3 linked regions of the Kluyveromyces lactis genome follow. The protein of the gene in region 2 interacts with the protein of the main gene of each other region in a pairwise test. Links are inferred from orthologs where the notes say so. Each region holds a gene or a part of one and is shown on either strand. Other genes may lie near its edges. The genes, in order: MSI1, NPR1 and SNF1.

The links.
Region 1: the proteins of NPR1 (region 2) and MSI1 interact in a two-hybrid assay, tested with the Saccharomyces cerevisiae proteins (2 studies listed by BioGRID). The link is inferred for Kluyveromyces lactis from reciprocal best matches to the Saccharomyces cerevisiae genes NPR1 and MSI1.
Region 3: the proteins of NPR1 (region 2) and SNF1 interact in binary tests that used the Saccharomyces cerevisiae proteins (3 or more experiments, as listed by UniProt). The link is inferred for Kluyveromyces lactis from reciprocal best matches to the Saccharomyces cerevisiae genes NPR1 and SNF1.

What each region holds. Positions count from the first base shown.
Region 1 is NC_006041.1:2,090,099-2,097,025, reverse strand, and holds MSI1 (Msi1p), read right to left. Parts: upstream 1,781-6,927; coding exon 527-1,780; downstream 1-526. Other genes in the region: PGI1 (glucose-6-phosphate isomerase), read right to left, coding at 2,116-3,783; KLLA0_E23497g (DUF5315 domain-containing protein), read right to left, coding at 4,320-4,715; GPI2 (phosphatidylinositol N-acetylglucosaminyltransferase), read left to right, coding at 5,024-5,842; TAF5 (chromatin modification protein), read right to left, coding at 6,030-6,927. UniProt on the Saccharomyces cerevisiae protein: Acts as a component of the histone chaperone complex chromatin assembly factor 1 (CAF-1), which assembles histone octamers onto DNA during replication and repair.
Region 2 is NC_006040.1:713,035-720,817, forward strand, and holds NPR1 (serine/threonine protein kinase NPR1), read left to right. Parts: upstream 1-1,438; coding exon 1,439-3,763; downstream 3,764-7,783. Other genes in the region: NOP6 (Nop6p), read left to right, coding at 1-375; MRPL19 (mitochondrial 54S ribosomal protein uL11m), read left to right, coding at 4,236-4,685; ubiquitin-specific protease UBP10, read right to left, coding at 5,012-7,264. UniProt on the Saccharomyces cerevisiae protein: Nutrient-regulated protein kinase that promotes the activity of at least 6 distinct transport systems for nitrogenous nutrients under conditions of nitrogen catabolite derepression.
Region 3 is NC_006037.1:334,894-342,463, forward strand, and holds SNF1 (AMP-activated serine/threonine-protein kinase catalytic subunit SNF1), read right to left. Parts: upstream 5,723-7,570; coding exon 3,914-5,722; downstream 1-3,913. Other genes in the region: SNX3 (Snx3p), read left to right, coding at 1-429; divalent metal ion transporter SMF1, read right to left, coding at 655-2,394. UniProt on the Saccharomyces cerevisiae protein: Serine/threonine protein kinase essential for release from glucose repression.

The sequences.
Region 1 (6,927 bases), on a different chromosome or scaffold from region 2:
CAATTCAAGAATAACACAAACGTATGTCTATAACTTCTAACTAATTAAAGGTCAGTTAATTGGATTTCGATGTGTGAAAAGTGTAGGTATTTCCAAATCCTAAAAGTTTCGCCAAAAGTTGAAAGAGAAAATTTTGTTTTCCCTCGAATTGGCCTGGCTGCTGGAAAATAAAAAATGGGCTATACGTAGTGGAAAGTATTGGCATAAAGTAGTATACAACTATAAAACATACAACAGTTGCTGATGGCGTATCTTGTGCAACTAGTATAGAGTTGAAACATGGTAGATTGGCATATCCTTTGTATACCTGTTTGCATAGAAGAGTTGTAGAGAGTTGTAGAGAGTTGTAAAGAGTGGCATCTCGTACCCGGTGATTTGGTCCATGTTCAGTGCTATGATTGGTTATAGGTCACGTGAAAGGAATTCAAGGAAGAGTAACGTGTTTCTTGTGTCGTGCGACACATTTATTATATGCGAATAAACAATACCGATACATGTATATATCGACGACATGTTCCAGTTTAATCTACAATTGTTCTACTAAGTTTGCTGCTGGCTTCCAGATATGAATTGAATTGTCGTTCGATACACTGCACATGGTCCATGGATCATGTTGTGACCATGAAATGTCGTTGACTCCGAGCATGTGACCACCATGGACAAATAATAGCATGTTGTTTTCAGCGTTAGAGTCCTCTTGTTCACCTGATGCATCCCATATCTTCACTAATCCACTCTGTTGATCTGCAGTGGCCAGTATTTGCGGTATCTGAGGGTTCCATTGAATGGCAGAGATGGGATCCTGATCTCCATGTTCCCATTCCTTTATTGGCTCCTTGAAATCTCTTATGTCCCAGATCTTTAACTGGCCCTGAGAATCACCGGTACACAATATCATATCGTTCTTATAGTTAAACTCGATGGCATTGATTCCATCTGTATGTGTAGTACGGTGTAATGTGTCCATTTTCGTATCTTGTCTTATGTCTATCAGTCCAATGACGTTGGATTCTCCGCATGATGCTAAAATGGAAGTGTGGTTTACCATCCATGACACATCATTGACTCCATTCGCGTCCATCACACTCTCTCTTTCAGGTATTTCCATTCTCTGTTTCGACTTATCAAATTTAGTAAGATCCCATACTTTTACTTTCCCGTTACTTTGACATGTAGCTAAGGTACCCTCCAATTGGTAATTCCATGCAAGGGATAAACTCTCGTCCTGTTCATCGTCACCGTTATTTCTGCATTCGATTTCGAATTTCCTGCCTGTGGAAATCTTATTACCATGTTTCGTTCTATCAAATATGTACACTGATCCATTTGATGATGCAGTCCCAATTATATCGGGGTTCTGAGGCATGTACCGACATCTGTTGCAATCACCGTCAGGGTACGTTATTCGTACCTCTTCTTCTAATGTCTTGTCGTTCAGTTTCAATGAATTATCCAGTTTAAATTCCATTTCATCCATGTCGAAGTTATTGATGGAACTCCATTTCATATGATTCATGGTAGATATGGACCCGATGTAAATTGACTCATCCTGCGGAAGTTGCTGCGATGTGAATGAAGATAATAATATCCTTTGTTTGTCATTCGTAAGAGTACGGTCTGGGAAGAATTGGCAGGATAGAGATGGCCATTTCGATGTGTTTGTATTCAAATAGTCGTAGAGCAACTTTGTATTCTTCTTCCAATTGGTATACCTTTGCTGTACTTCATTAGAAATTCCAGAGCCCAGTTCTGGAGGTTCTTCTATAATCAACTCACTCATTGTTGCGTCCTCTATATGCTATGAGCTAGCTTGGTATTGTTATATCTTGTCACAATCTCGATGTCTGTACTCTCGCACTACATCACGCGTTGTTGAATCTTTTGGACGTGTATCATTTTTCATTTTCCTTAATGTAAATATGAAAAAAGAGATTGATTAAGTGAAAACAATTACTTCCAATGTAGTTGATATTCGTGACATTGTCGTATATAAGTCATTCATTGCACATAGCGTTTTGATAAAGAAGTTTATTTAGTTTGGTTGTACGTAAAGATGTGGAATTCTAAGTTCACTGCATATCTTAGGTGAAAAGGAAATTGCATCGCATTCTCACATTAGATCCATTCTTTAAATTGGTTGATCAAACCGTTGGTGGAACTGTCGTGAGAAGAAATCTTGTTATCAGTGGCCAATTCACTACCAATAACCTTAGCCAAAACCTTACCTAATTCAACACCCCATTGGTCAAATGAGTTGATGTTCCAGATAGCACCTTCGGTGAATGTAACGTGTTCGTAGTAAGCAATCAAAGCACCAAGGGTAGCTGGAGTAATCTTTTGAGCCAAGATGGAAGTGGTTGGTCTGTTACCAGAGAAGACCTTGTGAGGTACTAGACCACCAGTGGCACCTTCTGATTTGACCTGTTCTTCATCTTTACCGACCATCAATGCCTCAGCTTGAGCGAAGAAGTTAGATGCTAGCATTTTTTGATGTAGGTTGTTTTCAATTGGGTTATGAGATTGGGCTGCCAAGATGAAATCAGATGGAATCAATTTGGTACCTTGGTGAATCAATTGGAAGAAAGAATGTTGAGCATTGGTAGCTGGTTCACCGAACAAGATAGAACCAGTAGAGTAGTTTGCAAAAACATTACCTCTGGTGACGGACTTACCGTTGGATTCCATAGACAATTGTTGCAAATAAGCTGGGAATCTGTGCAAGTATTGATCGAATGGCGCAACCAAATGTGTTTGAGCATCGAAGAAGTTGTTGTACCAAACAGATAATAGACCACCCAACAATGGAATGTTGTCTTCCAATGGAGTTTCAACGAAATGCTTGTCTACTGCCTCAGCACCCTTCAAGAATGCTTCAAAGTTGTCGAAACCGATGTATAGAGCAACTGACAAACCAATAGCGGACCAAACAGAGTAACGACCACCGACCCAGTTTTCAAAACCGAACATGTTCTTTGTGTCGATACCGAACTTTTCAACTTCAGTAGCGTTAGTGGACAAAGCAGCAAAATGCTTGGAGATATGGGATTGGTCACCACCGTTCTTAGATAAGAACCAGTTCTTAGCACTAGTTGCGTTAGTGATAGTCTCAGCAGTGGTGAAAGTCTTGGATGCGATCAAGAACAAAGTGGTTTCATGGTCCAAATCCTTCAAAGTTTCAGCAATATGAGTACCGTCAATGTTAGAAACAAAGTGTACCTTCAAGTTGGTAGCATAATGTTTCAATGCTTCAGTCACCATAACTGGACCCAAATCTGAACCACCGATACCAATGTTGACAACATCGGTAATAGACTTACCGGTGTAACCCTTCCAAGCACCAGATCTGACTTCTTCGGTGAACTCCTTCATGTGTTGCAACACAGCGTCAACCTCTGGAGTGACGTTGGTACCATCAACGTACATTGGCTTCAAACTTCTGTTTCTCAAGGCAACGTGGTACACAGCACGTCCTTCAGTGAAGTTGATTGGTTCACCGTTGAACATGGCATCTCTCAATGAGGTGACCTTAGCTTCCTTAGCCAATTGGATCAAAGACTTCAAGATTTCATCGTCAACTAAGTTCTTGGAAAAATCAAACAAGATCTTTGAACCATCGTAATTGACAAACGTCTTGGCAAACTTTTCATAACGAGAATTGTCCTTAGCAAACTCGTCCTTAACATTTAGCTTTTTACCCTTTTGTTCGTACAAAGATTGCAATTGGTTCCAGGCTGGCAATTCAGTTGCCAACTTGAAGTCAGAGTAAGTGTTCTTAGAAGCCATTTCTGATATTTGTCTTTTTATTTCTGTTTTAGAATCTATCTTAACAGAACTTTAAAACCTTTTATTGTACTTTACGGTCAGTTAAAAGGTCACTTCAGAATTCAGCGATTAAACCCTAATCACAAATTCCTTTCTACGTGACTCAAGAATACAATCGAAATACCAATTGGAAGAAGCAATTGATCAAGAACCTTCACCAGAGAATATATATATATAAAGAATCCACGATTTAAGTTAACCATTTCCCTCAAATTCGCAGGTGATGGAAAATACCAAATCCTTTTTTTTCTCAACGTTCCTATTATTTTCCATACTACGTTCAATCATCAATTCGTATATCCCATCGTTATTCGGAACAACTTGTAATTTCTGTCAGCTTCCGCTTTTTTTATTTGTTTCGCACCATCCAGTAAACAAATAGTGAAAGGCACGTAGAAGAAACCGGTGGTCCTTGGAAACCTTAGCTTCCACTAATACTCAACAAAAAGTCAGGGTAATTGTGGCACGTGATTCATCACGTGATTTGAAGTATTTATTCAGTTATATCTCTCAATGGTATCTACGATATCATTGATGTGTTTCTGTTGTTCTTCAAGATTTCCTGGGGTCTCTGTTGATTGTCTCTTCATGTGCTGCATCAAGTTCGCATGCATCTGGCGTAAGCGGGTAATATCCTCTTCGAAATTATCCGGGAAAGTAAGGCCAGTATTGCCCTCTCTGGCCATTCTTTTCACATCATCTAGTGTATCTATATCTGTCCATATCCTATCCTTGTCATCCACTTTTGGTGTAGCATGTACGTCGTCTGGAACGGTATCCTTGGGTAAAGTTCTCGGTATGGCTTTAGAATCCGTAGGTCTTCGTTCATTGTTTGAAGATTGCCTGGTTACCTGATCAAACGAATTTGATGTCTCCCTGCTAGATTGATCCATTGGGTATATGTAGCAATGAGTTGAGCAGTAAGTTAGGCTATATCCTTTGTATCTTACTTGTGCGGGTGCTCCCGCTGGCTGTGCTGTGATATTAAGTTGTAATGGATTAGCTTTTTTACGTATCAATCTCTAATTTTAATGATTCGAAAAAGCTAGCGACGACTGTTGAACTGAAGTAACTTCCTGCACTCGCAGAGATTTATCGCGAGTATAGCGGCAAATCTCCAGGTTTCTTTTGTCCAGACTGTAGTGACTATATTGTGCTAGTCGTTTCCCGAATAACAAATTGTCTTCTCTTATAGTTGTTAATGGCTGCGGGGAAACAATGGAAACGGTTATTGTGGTTGAAACAGCCGTTCCCAGATACCTACACTGATCCAAGTTTCTACAAACAATGGGAGAAGTTGAAAATTGAACATGGGCATTTGAGGCCTCACTCCTCGTACAGGTCTGTTTTACTTGATCTCTTCCAGTTTTACCACATGATTATTAATACTATGTTACTCTATATTATATTTGCCTGGTTCTATCATTACAAATACAATCCGATTTTAATTGCTGCCTCAATTTCATCTGTTTCCTTAATAGTTGCCAACAAGAGGGTACCCTGGAAATCCACTATCATCATTATATTTGCAATGTTGACCTTATCTCCAGTGCTTAAATCTTTGTCCAAGACAACTTCGTCCGATTCCATCTGGACTCTATCTGCATGGTTCACAACCTTTTACATCATATCGATCTCCGCTCTTGAATCTAAAATCCTACCGACCAATATTCTACTCTCAAATGTGACCGTACTTTCTTCAAGATTAGATACCTCCACCCAAGTTTTCTGTTTCCTTTTGATATGTATCCAAATTAACATTCTACTGCCGACGATGGAAAAGTATTTCATAAAGAATAAGTTGAAATTCCTGCATATACTATGTGTTATTGCGACACATGGTACAGTCTACTATTTTATAACGAAGTTAATGGGTGTCGGGATCACGATACCTTTGGGAATATCATCTTTGTTACTATTATTTGGAATCCCTCATTACTATATCCACTGGGAAAGCTACTATTATAAAGGACATCCGATTTTACAGCAGTGGGACGCTGAAAAACCAATATTAGATTAGTTATTAGGATTCTGTTAACATTTACATTTCATTGACTGCATTGATATCAATGCACATAAAATATACGTACTCATTGTAAATAATATAAAGATAAAGCGCATTCTCTTTTTTTTTATTTATTACAATTGGACAACTACTAGATATGTCGAATAAACGACCCTTATCTGGCTGAGTAAAGTAATCGCATTTACTCAATAAATGCACCACCAGCCAAAACTAGGTTCGTTCTTGTGAATTTTACTTTGTGAATTGCTGTTTTCTTTGTATGGAACGAAGCCATCAAATCCTGAGTTGGTATTACTGCCCGCCTACGTCCGAATTCTTTGATATCGTTATTTACACTGAGTTCCATATCTCCTGAATACGTGTTGAATTGTTGTTCCGGCTCCATTCCAGGCTCGTTTGTAAACCTCTTTATATCCCAAACTCTAACACTTTGATCCGCACCACCTGTTACTAGACAGTTACCTTCTTTGTTAAAAGTTATGGAATAGATAGGATTCTTACCGTGACCCTTCATCTGTTTGATTCTTTTACCAGTACCAATATCCCATACGATAATTGTGCCATCCTCACTGCCCGTAGTTAACCACCTACCGTCAGGCGATACTTCAAGTGCGGTGACTGGTGATGTATGTCCCAAAAACAGTCTAACAGAATCACCTGTTTGAATATCCCACATACGGCACGTTTTGTCGCTGGAACCAGTGAAAACATAGCAACCATTTGGATGGAAAGTGCTACAATCCACGTCATTTAGATGACCTGAGAAAATTCTCAACGGATAGATATGATCACAAGACCATAGTCTAGCCGTTTGATCATGTGAAGCGGTGATGAAATAATGGCCAAGTGGAGAAAACTTGACGTACCATACTGGATGGTTATGGCCTTTGTAACACACTAGGCAAGTGAACGTATCTAAAGACCAAAGTCTGACAGTTTTATCTTCAGATGCGCTAAGTAAGTACCTGTTATCCGGGCTGAATGCAACGGAATAAACTGGTCCGCTGTGTCCTACCAAAGTAGCAGAGTTCGATTGGTCTTTAGCTTTGGATGGGAGGATCGACTGTAGCGGTGATCCA
Region 2 (7,783 bases):
CACATTAGAATGAGACAAGACAAGGGAATTGCATTCCTTGAATTTGACGGAGATAAAGACCACAAGAACATACAAAGAAGAATGGACGTCGCATTACTTCAACATAAGACGATGCTCGGAGACCGCAAGATCAACGTTGAACTAACAGTTGGTGGTGGTGGTAACAGTGCAACACGTCTTGAGAAGCTAAGAACTAAGAACGATAAACTGGACATTGAGCGTAATCAACGTATGGCTAAACTAATCAGCGACAGCAGAGGCAACAAGAAGACGGACCAGGACTCTGAATCAAATGGCGCAGAGAAGAACGAACCCAAGAAACCTTCATCTGTACCTGCAGGAATCCATCCAGACAGAGCAAGATTTATTAAATGAGAAGACTCTCAGGATCTCAACTGAGTCAATGTATAATAGCGTACTCACATGTTATGTGTATATATATATACAGACATGCATATGTTTCCCGTGCAAGAAGCAGAACAGAGAGCGAGTCACGTGAACAACACCGTTATCAATGATGCCCTTTCCAAATCCTGTGTCGCTTAATGCGAATTAATCCAACGAATCCTCGGGGATAGGATATTGCCAATCCAGGTCAATTGCGAACAGTCGCTTAATCCAAGAAGCGAATGAAAAAAAACGACAGTAGACTGGAGTCCTGACGTTCGTTCCAACATAATCACACTTACATATGAATGGAATGCATGTAAACATATACGAACAAGAATAAGAGCCGTAACGACCCATCAGTCCATTCTCTAGTGTAAATCAGAACGGGAGACAGAGAGTTAGTTCCTCACATAAATCGAACTTGCAACAGTAAATTGATACGAAAACCAGATCGATTACGGCAAATCAAGTATATCACGTTTATCAGATAAAGAGTCAACGTTGTCGTCCTTTCTTGCGCAGATTAGTCTTTTATCTTTTGGGAAATACCAAGGGAAAAGGAAATCCGTCCTTAAAGGAAAAAAAAATTTGAATTTATATATTATTAAAACAAAACATAATAGACCGCAAGCATCCAGACAGTAGGTTTTCTCCAATTCTTTCAGATTCCTACCCTTACCTATTCGCTTAGCAGTTGGCTGTAAATAGTTCTACTTCCAACAACACGCTTCATTTCTCCAGTTTAGCACGTTTCTGCTACAGGGTGAGTTTTCGGTACGGAAAAGAAAGACATAGAGTTCCCCTTTAGTGCCACTGCTCAGGATAAATTCGGTATTACAAAACAAAACTGCAGAAGAACTTTCTGAAAGGGATTGATAGACCTGCTTCATATTGTGTTGTATACAAAGGAATAGAATTATAAAGTAGCTACTCGGTGTTTTTACGAGGATATCAGTTTTTTAGAATCGATAATTAGAGTTAATCAGGCTCTGATATCGATATCGACAAAGCAAAATAATTAGAACCAGACCACAACGTTATTGGAACAATGTCATCGTTAACTAAACTGTTACAAGAAAAAAGAAATCAGGAACCTTCGTCAAAGTCCGCTCTAACGAGTTCTTTGAAAGGTTCCTTGGCAGAATCAAGAAACTCCAATTCACAGTCTCATGCTGGACATCCAAACGGAACCGTGGTATCCAGCCCGATGGAAATAAGGGATGGTGCTGGTGGTAGTGATACAACCGTAACACAGGTTGATTCAAATGACGATGGATCTCTGGAAGCGTCATATGAGTTTTCTCAATCTTTTGTCAATGCTAATTCAGCTCATACTGCAACCATGTACGGCTCTTCGGTGCCAAACAGATCTCGCTCGGGCTCCATCCTTATTTCAAGCGGGAAATTCCCACAAGATACCAACGGAAGAGGTGTACCAGGAAGACTTGGTACAAGTATTGGGAGACACACCACTTCGACAAGTGTCATTTCGAACAATTTACCATCGCTTTCATCTAGTATACCATACTCGGCACCAAATTCCAATACAACAAACGACTCAACTGTTAATAGTGCCGAATCCTCTGCATCTTCCTCGTGGCTGGATAAGCATGGGTCGTTGCCCAGTAATATAGCTGCCATCGACTCAAACGTGATCTCTTCGCCAAAAGTTGAATCTGTGGAGCCCAGATTTGTCATTTCAAAACAGAAACTACAACAGAAATCAAATATGAATCATGACACCGGTAAGCCAGTGTCAAGATCGAGTTCGTTATCCTCACAGCTAGGAAGTTTTTTCTTTTCGAAAAACAAGGATAATGAACCGAGTTTAGTAGCCTCTTCGTATGGCGCTGGCGTCTCTCAGACCAATAACTACTACAACAACTCCAACTCCAATAGTAACACGAATTCCAACAATAACAACAACAGCAGTGCAATCCCTTCCTCCTCGACGAGCCATGGTTCATCCATTCCAAAACCCATTAGGGCTAGAGCATCGTCCATTTACAATTCATCAAGACAACCTACTGCCTCATATAATGAGCATGTTTTGGGGTCTCCGCAATCATTGCATGAAAACCTCTCTCAGAATCAATATACTCCAAAATCTCGTCACAGCTCCGTTGCTGATTTGAAGAGATTCTTTAAAAAACACGGTAACTCCTCCGCTTCATACAGTGAGTCTCCACCAATCAGTGCTAACTTTTCAAATGCAAGCGGTGCAAGTGCAGGATTTGCGCCTGGATCATTGGGATCCAATGACGTTGTGTACGCTGCTTCGCATGTACCTGCATTACCATTCAGTAAACGTTACCTTAAAACTGGGGAAAATTTGGGTGCCGGTGCCGGTGGTTCCGTTAGATTAATGAAAAGGATCAGTGATAACCAAGTCTTTGCTGTAAAAGAATTCAGACCAAAGTTTGAACACGAAAGTAAGCGTGATTATGTGAAGAAAATTACTTCTGAATACTGTATTGGTACAACTTTACGTCATCCAAACATCATATCCACTATTGAAATTGTTTACGAAAACAACAGGATCTTCCAAGTCATGGAGTATTGTGATTATGACCTTTTCGCCATCGTCATGAGTAATAAGATGTCGTATGAAGAAATCTGTTGTTGTTTCAAGCAAATCTTGACCGGTGTAGAATATTTACACAGTATTGGTCTGGCGCATCGTGATATGAAGTTGGACAACTGTGTAATAAACAACCAGGGTATAGTGAAGTTGATTGACTTCGGTGCTGCAGAAGTCTTCTCCTACCCCCACTCAAAAACTTTAATCGAGTCAAGTGGCATTGTTGGAAGTGATCCATATTTGGCTCCCGAAGTTTGTATATTTACCAAGTATGACCCAAGACCTGTTGATATATGGTCCGTTGCCATTTTGTTTGCATGTATGGTATTAAAGAAATTCCCATGGAAGATACCTAAGTTAAAGGATAATTCCTTCAAATTCTTCTGTTCGGGAAGAGACTGCGATTCCTTGAGTGCTTTAGTCACAAAAACACCTAAACCGCCAAGTTATGACAATGCCGTCCAATCTGATGAGCCAGCTGAGAGCACATCTAAATCGAACAACCCATCTGATCCAAACAACACGAATATTGGTCCTCAAAGACTACTTCATTCCTTACCGGAAGAGACCCACCACATTATCGGTAGGATGGTAGACTTGGCTCCTGCTTGTAGAGCCAATATTGAAGAAGTATTAAATGACCCTTGGATTCAATCCATTGACATGTGCACCGTTGAAGTAGACAACCAAGGTAACTACGTCGTGCACCCTGGAATGGACCACAAACATACCCAAGTTGATCAAAGCGAAGCCCACATTGCTGGTCTTGAAAAGAAAAAAAAGGCAAAATAAATTAAGAGAGAGAGTAAAACTAGCAATCCGGCTGAGGTATGTTCTACAGCATGTTTTATCAAATAAGAGTAACTCTTCTGAGACGACATAGACTTCTAATTGTTGTGCAATCGTTATAAATTATCTCTCCTGTAAAAGTACACAAATGTATAAAATATTTAAGAACAATTCTTGGCATTCTCATAAAATTAATGCTTTATAACGTTAGCAACCTTTGGCATGAAGTCGGTACACATCGCAGCATATGGTTCTATTTAGCAGACAATGAATTGTGCTTATTAGAAAGTGTATAATGGAAAACAATGTGCGGGTAATAACTTCAAAATTTTCTTTGGCCTAAAAAATTCTTGGAGATATGCCAGATTATAAGCTGGTAAAAATCGATGGCTTAAAGTAAGATGTGCATTCAATCCGATCAATTGCCTCGAACAAAATATCGAAACAGTAAGTCCAGGAAGCGCCAAACAGGACCATGTCGAAGGTTCTTAAGAACGTGATAGTCAAACTTATTGTCGGAGCAGGTCAAGCTGCGCCTTCTCCTCCAGTTGGTCCAGCTTTAGGGTCTAAAGGTATTAAAGCTATTGATTTCTGTAAAGAGTTCAATGCCAGAACAGCAAACTTCCAACCGGGTACTCCGATTCCAGTACTCATCAATATCAAACCAGATAGAACATTTTCGTTTGAAATGAAAAGCCCTCCTACTGGATATCTTTTATTGAAGGCATTAAGTCTTGAGAAGGGACACGGACAACCAAATATCAGTAACCCTGATAATGTATGTGGTGAACTGTCGTTAAAACATATATATGAGATCGCCAAGATCAAGAAGACCGATGGAAGACACGCTGCTCTGGAACTTGAAGGAATCGTAAAGTCTATTATCGGTGTTGCTAAGAGTATGGGTATTAAGGTAGTTCCATAAACTGACTTTTTTTTCACTAATCAAAGCATCGATTTGTGAAATAGTGAAGGTCTCGATGGAGAGTTTCATTCCAACTGGTTTATTAGCATTTGTAGACCTCATTTCGTGTACATAAAATAGAATAATGAAAAGATAAAATTATAATAATATATCAACTACTATAGATGAAGATGTATATGATGATCCAAATGAACTGAAACCGAAGTGAAAAAAGATGAACTGAAGTCAGTGTGAGGTAGATGCATGTATGACTGTTTACAAAGAAAGAATGAACAAGGATGCAAGTGTATTGTAAGCCGGTAGTTTAAGGAAAGGGTTATTCAAACTTATGGGGAAATCCTTCTCTTCTTGTTTTTTTTCTTATTCTTACGTTTAGAGTTGTTCTGCGATGATGAGTGTGAAGATGGAGGTCTTTGCAATTGCGGAATACCTAGATCAGTAGATTTATTGGAAGATTGAGAGGAAAGTGGGACCGATTTTGGTGTAAGTCTAGTGTACACTAAGAAGTACGCGTTTGGCTCTTTCAAAAGCTGTTTTTCTGAAATTTTATTGATGTATTCGTCGTCATATGTGGCCCAACTTCCATCTGGTTGCTTACAATGTGCGATATAATGACCGCTAGATAAAGATCGCCCTTCATGCACAACGACACTAATTAGTTGGTATCTTACGGGTAAGGAGCTGATTGATTCATGGCAGTATTCCGTTAGATCTAAAAACATTGGATAAGATACGGCCTGCTTCATTTTGGATGAAGATGTGCCATTAAATCTGAACTTTTTTAAATGAACCACTAGAGTCTCTGGAGCACGAATAATCTTGTTTGACTTTAGCGCGTTAGTAACTTTCTTACATTTCTCACATGTATACCCTTCTTTGTTGTCCACTCTTTTGATTAACTCAGGATTGAAGAAATCCCGAATAGATTTTTCAATTGAAAACCTTCTCTTTGAAGATTGCTGTTGATCAACAGAGTTATCAATTGAATTATCTTGACCAACAGAGTTTTGATCTTGATCAGTTGTCTTTCTACCCTTTAAATGCAATGAAAGATCGTATATAGGTTGTTCAGTGGTTGAAATCTCACCACAGTTACTGCATTTAACTGATTGTTGTAGTAATCCACCGAATACATCGTAAATGATGGATTCTGTCATTTTATGGCCCTTAGGAACCGAGTCCTCTTGTAAACGTGACATTAAAGACATAAAATATTCGTGAGAGTCCTCTTGGTTCCAAGCGCTCATCATACAGTTAATGTCTTCCAACGCATTGATTAATTTATCAGGATTAATGTACGTATTTTTAGTTGAGTCAGAAGACCACATTCTCATCGTAGTTTCCGCTAATAACATGGAAACACAGTTAGACTTAACGGTGTCCTTGAAATTTCCACGTAGTAATTGAAATAAATAGTGTTGAATTGCTGGAATATGAACCATGGCTTGCACAGCAGCGTTTGTGTAACATGTGACACCATGGTTGAGTAAACCCCTTGGTTTCAGCTGGGTCAACTTAGAGCCCCAATTCTTAACTATCCTCTGTGGTTTATTAGAACCATGGTCATTAATCGACTCGTTAAATTGGTAGAAGCTTGACTTGTCCTGAAGAGTGGTAGGAGGGGTAGGTGATAGAGGTTGTGGAGATTTGTGCTTCAATTCTTCATCCTCTTCCTCTTCTTCGCCATTTTCCTCTTCTTCAGGTTTGCTCTCAGAAGCAGCCGCAGTTGAAGATGAAGACACTCCTTTGAACTGACAAGAAGAAGCAGCAGCATGTTCAGTAGCCTCCAATTTGAGTTCTTCCTTTTCCTCTGCAGAAACATCCTCGTCATTCTCGTCATCCTCGTCTTCTGCTGATGCAGAAGAAGCGTGGAATGAACTGTCATCACTATCTTCATCTTCATCGACATTTCCAGGCTGCTCAGCAGGAGCAGCTAATGCCAGCGATGGTTGAACGAATTCATTAGCCTCATGAAACACTTCATCCTCATCCTCATCCTCATCGTCGTCATCAGACGACGAGACAGGAGCAGAAGTTGCAGCAGATGATGAAGAAGCGGAAGAAGACCCAGAACCCGACATTTCGTTTGAATCTGGGGTCACTTTGTTTTCCAACAACGACACGATTGGATGCTCCTCATCTTCAGTCGAGGATCCATGATAGTCATCATCACTGAGTAAAAGCTCATTGCTCAAACCGATAGATAATTTCCCCGATGGAGTCACATGAGAAGCGGTAATTGGTAATTGCGAACTTCTGTTTGGCTTAGATTCCGCAGCGTTTGCCGCACTTTTCTTAGTGGTATACATCTTCAACGCCTCTGCAAATGATGAGGGCTTGACCACCTTCTCCTTACGGGACGCAGTTGCAGTAGCAGCTATACCCTGATGATGTCCATGCTCTAACTGATGCTCATCGCCTTCTTTGGCTTCCTGCTGCTGTTTCTGGGTGCTCGATGAGATCATAATATACGAAGAGCCTTCACCACCGACGTTATATGAGTCCTCTTGAACAGCTTTCTTGAATTCCAACGGTTGCGAAACGATACGATCCACTAGTGGTTTTACAGAATCAGTCATTACCTTAGTTCTTCCTGATAGAAAACTGCACCCTAGCCCTTTTCTGTCCGCAAGCTTTTCGAACTCTTCTGAAATAACCTGCTGTTTAGTAAAACCTTTTCTAGTATAATATTTTATTTCTCTTTATTATTTTTTTTTTCTTTGATCTGGCCTTAGAGAGGGAGGTTTTGACAGCGAAAATTCGATAAAAAAAATGGATCCAAAGAAAAAAAAAAAAGAACTGAATCTATAAACTCTGGATATCAAAGTATCCGGGTAGCAAATAACCAGACACGCTCCTTTGACACGTTTTTGTGTCTGGTTTTTGGTGTGCCACAAAAAAAGCGATATGAAAGCCGGGTAACAGCAATAATGCAATACGTCATGGTATTTTGTGTCACGTGAAAGGATACCCGGATGTTAGTCATTTTCTTAAAAACACAACATCAGTGTTCCTCAATCCACCTCGCCGTCCCATCCGCCTCTCCTCCCTCAAGCGAATAAAAAAGAAAAGAAATAGGGCGGGATCTTGTTGTCCCT
Region 3 (7,570 bases), on a different chromosome or scaffold from region 2:
CACAAGCAATTATCCGGTGCAACAATTTATGATGAGCCAGAAAACTTTCTAGAGATAGAGGTTTGCAACCCAAAGACTCATTTCCCTAGTGGCGATGCTAAGGGAATGTATACAGATTATGAAATTATATGCAGGACGAATCTTCCTGGCTTTTCTAAAAGATCGAGTTCCGTTCGAAGGCGGTACAGTGATTTTGAACTATTCAGAAAGTTGCTGATCAAAGAATTACAACTGAGCAACCATCCGAAAGTCTCAGTACAACATTTGCCAGGAAAGATTCTCCTTTCAAACAGGTTCAGTGATGCAGTTATAGAGGAAAGACGCCAAGGCTTGAACAAATGGCTGGCATCTGTCGCTGGGCACCCTCTATTACAAACTGGATCAAAAGTCCTCGTCCGTTTCATTCAGGATCCTACCTTCCAGGGGTAGTAATATTAAGCAGATTTGCCATCCTAATATAACTTTCGCTAGTGGCAGTTGACATGAGTCGGAAAGTCTTGATGTACTCTGTTTATGGAGCAAATTACGTAGAATGTAGTTTACAGTATATCCAAAAAAGTATATAATATTTCATGTTACCTTTAACGGAGACGGTTCTATCATGCAAATATGTTCAAAGTACAGTATGAGAATGAAACAGGTATGAGGGAGAACTCAACTGATATCACCATGAGAAATACCTAATTGCACGATAGTGTAAACGTTCAACAAGGATATGAAAATCCATACCAAAAATGCAATGATGGTAGTGATCCAGTTGTTGGACATGTCAATATATTCATCAGGTTGCTCTTCCTCGCCGATAACCGTTGGAGCGTTCAGTTTATCTTTGTTGTTCACTTTGACTTTCATGATAGACTTTTTACAAGTGAAGAAGATCAAGGGAGCGACCAAGAATGGCAATAGAATGGATAAAACAACTTGGGAGGCATTTAAAGCCTTGGAAAGGGCACTCCTACCTATGGTTAAGGAGATAATCAAACATGGAATAATAGAGATACCTCTTGTTATCAATCTTCTCTTCCACGGTTTGAAGTTCCAATCCAAATGACCTTCGCATACAATTTGGCCTGCGATGGTGCACACAATACCGGCAGATTGACCACTAAATAACAAGGCCAACATGAAAACAGTACCAGCAATTGGAGCCAAATTCTTAGAAAGTAGAGAGTGAATGGTGTACAAGTCGGCATCCACAGCCTCCTCGGAGCCGTACAAAGTGGCACCTGCAACGATCAAAATAGCACTGTTAACAAATAATGCAAAGGTGAACAAAGTGATGGCCAATTCAAAAATGGAATATTTCATGGCATACTTGATAGCACTATTTGTGGGTTGATAATTGAAGTATCTTCTTTCCCTGATGACTTCGATATCTTCCTTTTCCTTTACAGCAGAGTGAGTATCTTCGGTTTCTTCAATGACATTGTCTTCATCTTCTTCTGCCAACAAATCGTAGTAACCATGGTCAACGTCATACTCTAATAATCTTGGTTGAACTAAACCAGAACCCAAGAAGAGTGAATGAGGCATGACAGTGGCACCGAGAATGGAGGTAGCGGTGTACATACCGTTATGTTCAAACATTTGTTTAGAAGGAACAAAACCTCTGAAAATATGTCCCACTGGAGTTTTTGGAATGTAAGCCAACTCAACACAGAAGCAGATAACAACACCAAAGACAAGTAGGGCAACAGCGTACTCGAACATTCTGACGAATCTCATGGATGAAGAACCTGGCTTGTAAGCGATCAAAACGAATAAGACATCGATACAGGTAATAACCACACCCGCTGGTAATGGGATTCTTAGCAAGATATTCAATGCAACTGCAGTACCAATAACTTCAGCAACATCTGTTGCAATGATAGCACATTCTGCAAACACATAAATGGTCAAATTCAACCATTTGGGCAGGTGCTTCTTGCAAGCCCTTGAAAGATCTAATCCCGTCACAGAACCTAGTTTGATACATAGAGATTGTAAGAAGATAGCAATAATATTGGAAACCAACACAATACAAAGTAAAGAGAACTCGTTAGAAGCACCAGCACTAACGTCAGTAGCGTAATTACCTGGATCCATATAGGCAACAGAGACCATCAAACCCGGTCCAACAAATCTCATGTATTTTCTCAACACGTCTTGTACGGAGCCAAAAAACCCTCTCTTCTTATCTTCGGCGGAAGACAATGACAGTGAGTATTGACTCTGAACTGGGTCAGTTGAAGAAGATCCTTTTTTCTCCGTATCCCTCATCCTCATGGCCCTTCTGCATTTCAATATCAACTTTTGACGAACAGAGAGTTTGGAGGCACCACCGGGCATGGACAGCTCAAGCATACTTTGAGGATCCAAGTACTCCTCGGTCACTTCAAACTTATTTTCCGGCATGATATTCTTTCAATTGAGACAACTGAATCTTATTCCCAAATCTTGGCACTATTCTCAATCGACCCGTTGATTTCGTTTGAACTTCCCTACAACGATGAAACCTCCTTCGATATATCCAAACACTGATAAGCAGCTTGTTATACTGGCACTGGAAACTCCCGTTGTAGGATTGAAAACAATAAAAATGACCTGATGAATAGTCCTTATACCTTAACGTTACATTTGCCCTATTTCATCAAAGGTATGCATATATATACCTCGCACGAAAAAAGTTCCCTAGAAAAATGCTCGTTTCATCGGACTACGGTTGAACACACTTAGTTGGTTATTATCGATATTTCGGGTTATTCCTGTCACATGAAATCGATTCTAGATCTTCAGTATCAGGTGGGTCAATATACACTACTATATATAGTACTAAGAAATATGGCTCATCTGAAGATCTGGCCCGGTTGAGCTGATTGTCATTTGTCAGACCTGATGCCTCCTCATATAATAACTCAGGTCAGTTAACGATACTTCAATTAATACGTACCGTATAGCTACTTAACCGCCAATTGCATCGGTAGTTACCCGATCATAGTTTATGTTCCGTCTCAACATTTAGGCAACACAATCTTCCTCCTCAACATCCAAGTTGGTTCCTTGGCCCAGTTGGTTAAGGCACCGTGCTAATAACGCGGGGATCAGCGGTTCGATCCCGCTAGGAACCATTTTTTTGCCCACTAGTATAGCAAATATTACTATTATGATAGACCCGACTATACTTAACAGTATAATAGTCTCATGTTGTGATGTGCCGTGGATGATAGCTGATTGATTGCTCACCTCTTGTGGAATCGTAGAGACCAAACAAGTACTGAATTTGATATAAGAATATACATAGTTAGATCCTTGAGCATATGCGTCTTGCTCCTTCTTGTTGCATCCAACCTCTCAAAAGGTTGCAACTTAACTCAGCCCTAATACTCAACTCATACTCAGTTGTCCGTCGGACTTTTTCATGGTAACTGATAGTCTCATGAGCCACTCGTCATGCGCAGCTTCTGCCTATTCCAATTTCACTAAATATTGTCACGTGACCCTCTTTGATCCATCTAGGCCTTCCCTTCTGGATACCACAGGATCCATATGCCCAGTCACTGACGTCTTGGAACTCTGCCGTGTGCTGGCTAGCTCACATGACCCTTCGTCTGGCCTGTCTTCAGTCTATCTTACGAAAACTACAACAAAGTAGCATCGGTGGTTTAGTGGTAAAATCCAACGTTGCCATCGTTGGGCCCCGGGTTCGATTCCCGGCCGATGCATTCTTTTTTCATGTGTCAAAAACATGTATGTTGTTTTCCTCTTCTTCCCGGCGAGTGTTGTGAGCTAAGAGTAATTTCTCATATAATATAGTGATTGTCATTATTTAATGATATGTATATAAGGCTTAAACTTTAAGCAAATATTCAAACTTATATACACTCTTCGTTGGATATTATCCGTTAGTATTTTTTTAATTTCATGAACCTTAAAATCAACTTCCTTGGCTATTCACTGCAAGTTCCATAATCAGCCTGGTTGCTAAATGTAGAAAGGGGTATGCACTGAACGTACTCATTTCATCGTCGTTCCGACTTGAATACACTACACCGTTACTGGACTCCCAGCCATCAAATTTGAAATCCACTAAGTAGTTATTTGTCTCAATTTGGAACAATTGGATTACCATCTTCATTAAATCTGGAATCTGCTTGTTCTTCATTTCGTCATCAGGCATATCGATATTATATCTCCAACGGACTCTAATAGTCCATAGGTCCTCTTCTGATGGTTTCGCCCATTCGGCTCCCAAGTTTTTCAATGCAATGTATATTTCTCCCATAACGTCTAATGGATAGGATCTTGATCGTATACCGAAATGCCACCTTGTTTTTGATTTTTTCACGCTTAATGGTGAAATCTTAGCAGCAGCCTGGGACCCTTGTGCTACCATGTTGGCTCTATGGATCTGTGGTAACGAGCTAGGTAAAATTGCAATCGTGCTGTCTCCATCCTGAGAACCATTTCCATAATGATATTGATATGTACGTTGCTGTGTTCTCTTTGAATGGCGGTGTGAGTGTCGATTTTTTGAGCCCGGGGGGGCATGCAAGGATTGTTCGAAAGTGGGTGGAGATTGCGATAAGAAAGTATCCAAGTCATTAGATTGTTGCTTGTTCACCTTGATGTCGTTGATTAAATTTCTGTTCTCTTTAATTAACTGATAGGCATCCCTGATTTCATTTAAAGATGGATGATCTTCATCGGACTCTAAAGCCTCATATATCTCATCTACGTCATAACCCATAGTGTTTGATAGCGTTTGAACTAACGAATCATCGATCAGTTCGAGTGGCACGGATGGGCCGCCATCTTCTGTTTTGCTTTCAGAGTTTTCTTGATGGGTGCTTTCAGCAGGAACTAGGTAGTCGGGTAAATCAACTTTGAACCATTCATCCTGCATGATTTCATGCACGGTAATTCTATTAACTGGATTGACGATGAGCATCTTTTTGATTAAGCTCGCAGCACCTTGGGAAAGGAAGTTAGGTATGGTGTAAACACCATTGCTAATGTTCTTAAACAACACTGGGATACTTTCGTCATCGAATGGTAACCTACGACACAACATGACGTATAAGATAACCCCTGAAGACCAAACGTCAACCTCTGGACCTGCATATAGTTTACCGCTGATGACTTCTGGGGCCGCATAATTTGGAGAACCACATGAAGTCTTCAAAAAGTTACCATCTGTCATTATATTAGATAAACCAAAATCAGCAATCTTAACGTTCAAATGTTCGTCTAATAGTAAATTCTCTGGTTTCAAATCTCTATGCACAATTTTATGACGGTGACAATAATCTACTGCGCTAATAATCTGTTGGAAAAATCTTCTTGCTTCTTGTTCAGGCATCTTGTCTCTTTGGACAATATAATCAAATAATTCATTACCAGCATACTCAATCACCATGATAATTTCGTCCTTCGATTTGATCACGTCATACAATTTGATAATGTGTGGATGTCTCAACAAACGTAAGTACGAAATCTCTCTCTCGATTCTACCTTGCATATCACTCTTGGCTAGAACCTTCTTATTGATGATTTTTAATGCCACTTTTTGTCCCGTAGAGATATGGTACGCCAGTTTCACTTTACCAAATGATCCTTCACCCAAGGTCTTGATGATTTGATACTTACCGATATGTTGGCCTTGTGCGTGGTTAGTCAGCTGGCGTTGGTGATGGCCTTGACCTGAGCCACCATGCGGCTGTTGTTGATTTGGGTCGTGCGACATATCTTCTCTGATGAGTATGTACTCGTAAATGCTTCACTAAGAGTTTGCGTTCAACAGAGGGATATCTTGTTTACTCTGAGAATAGTTGCTTCTAATTGAGAAGTTGACTAACTTGTTAGAAAACTTGCAATTCTTATACTAGTGTGACGTTTCTGGAGTCTCACAAAACCCAATTCTATCCGCCCTACAATTACGCATTGATCCTTCTTTTATTGTTGATGTTCCGTATATGACAAGTTTTCAATTTTATCATCAAAATGTAAACGGCGTAGAAATCGTTGATGATGACTGATACCTTATGTAGGAGACCGTACTGGGACGAGTCCGGCGAATTGACCATTTTCAGTCACCAATCCTGTCACGTTTTACGAGAGGATTCAGACAATTCACGAATCCATTCTTCACTACGTCAATATGCTATGACACTACATTAAAGTACATCACCACTCGATAAGTGGCTATTATATACGAACCAAGATGTATATATTACATCTTTAATCTTCCCCAATTACTCTTTTATAATTAGGAATAACGTTAATATCGTATTTTCCTCATTATAAACTGGTGATTCCAAAATTCTGCTATCTATGTATTAGTTTCAATCACTACTGTCACTGGAGTAAATATCGATGACTGCGGCAGGATCGTAGAATGATTGTTGGCTAAAATTTGAATGCTCCATATCGTCCTCGTCATCCGTCCAAGAGTCCGTTGCAATATGTTCAGTCACAGGCATCTTTGAGCCCAAATTGAAACACATCAAGCGATTCCTTACTATCATTGTGCTTTTTAAATTGGAACTAGCAAGAGAAAATCTATCATCTAAAACACGCTTACTGATTGAGAAGCTCCTTTCGACGTCAGCAGTTGAGAGCTTAGTGTGGTAAAAGGCAAGAGCCAGACTGCACAATGCAGGAAATCTTGATTGGTTTTCAAGCCAATAGCTCAAAAAATCCTTCTCTTTCTCCAATGGTTCCCCCAAGTATATCTGCCACTCATCCTTAGGCGCAAAATGGAATTCTGAAATGTTTCTATCCAGATATGCAGATAGGTTTTTTAATAATTTTGGCTTCTTAACACGATTGATATTCAATGGTTCAGTTGGTTTATTGTGCGAGCGAATATCGGAAGTTTCAGTAAATCGTTTGCAGTAACTGACAACATAACTTGTTGCTGATTCAATGACATCCTCTTTGAACGATTGCTCAAAGGACCTGTTCAATAGGTCAGTCTTACGGTGAGGTTGTGAGATATGTGCCACCCAATATCCTGGTTCTTTGAACGCAAAGTCCATGTATTTTTCAAATTTGGGGTACGAGGCCATGACCGCAGAGAAAACTTGTTCCTTTATAGTATTTGATGGTAAATGAGTTTTCTTAATCCCAACATTGGCTACATGCAAAATATCATCCGAACCGTTTTTTAACTCTTCGCAAGACTTGTAATATTGGCGGATAGTCATGTAATATTTAATTCCATTGCATAATGAATTTGTGGTATCATCTTGAAGGAGCATGGTAACTTCTTGAAAAATGCGTGCTATCCTCACAAAGAAAAGAATATACTCCAATTCCTCCTCTTGATAACAAAATACAGAGCAGTCATCTGGAATTAGCTGGAATTCAGGTTTGAAACGGTTATCAAAGAAAAACTCTTTAGCACCTTTAGAGACTTTAAGGAAAACTTCAAGTTGACGGTAACGAGAAAGGAACCTTGTGATATTGTGTTTGGGAATCGTGCAAGGAATATAAGAGCGGATCTTATTTCTGATGTAAACGTTACTCTTTGTATAAGATGCTAGTTTATCAATCCTCGATAGCAGCGACTCGTGACCTTTTTCAAAGGCAT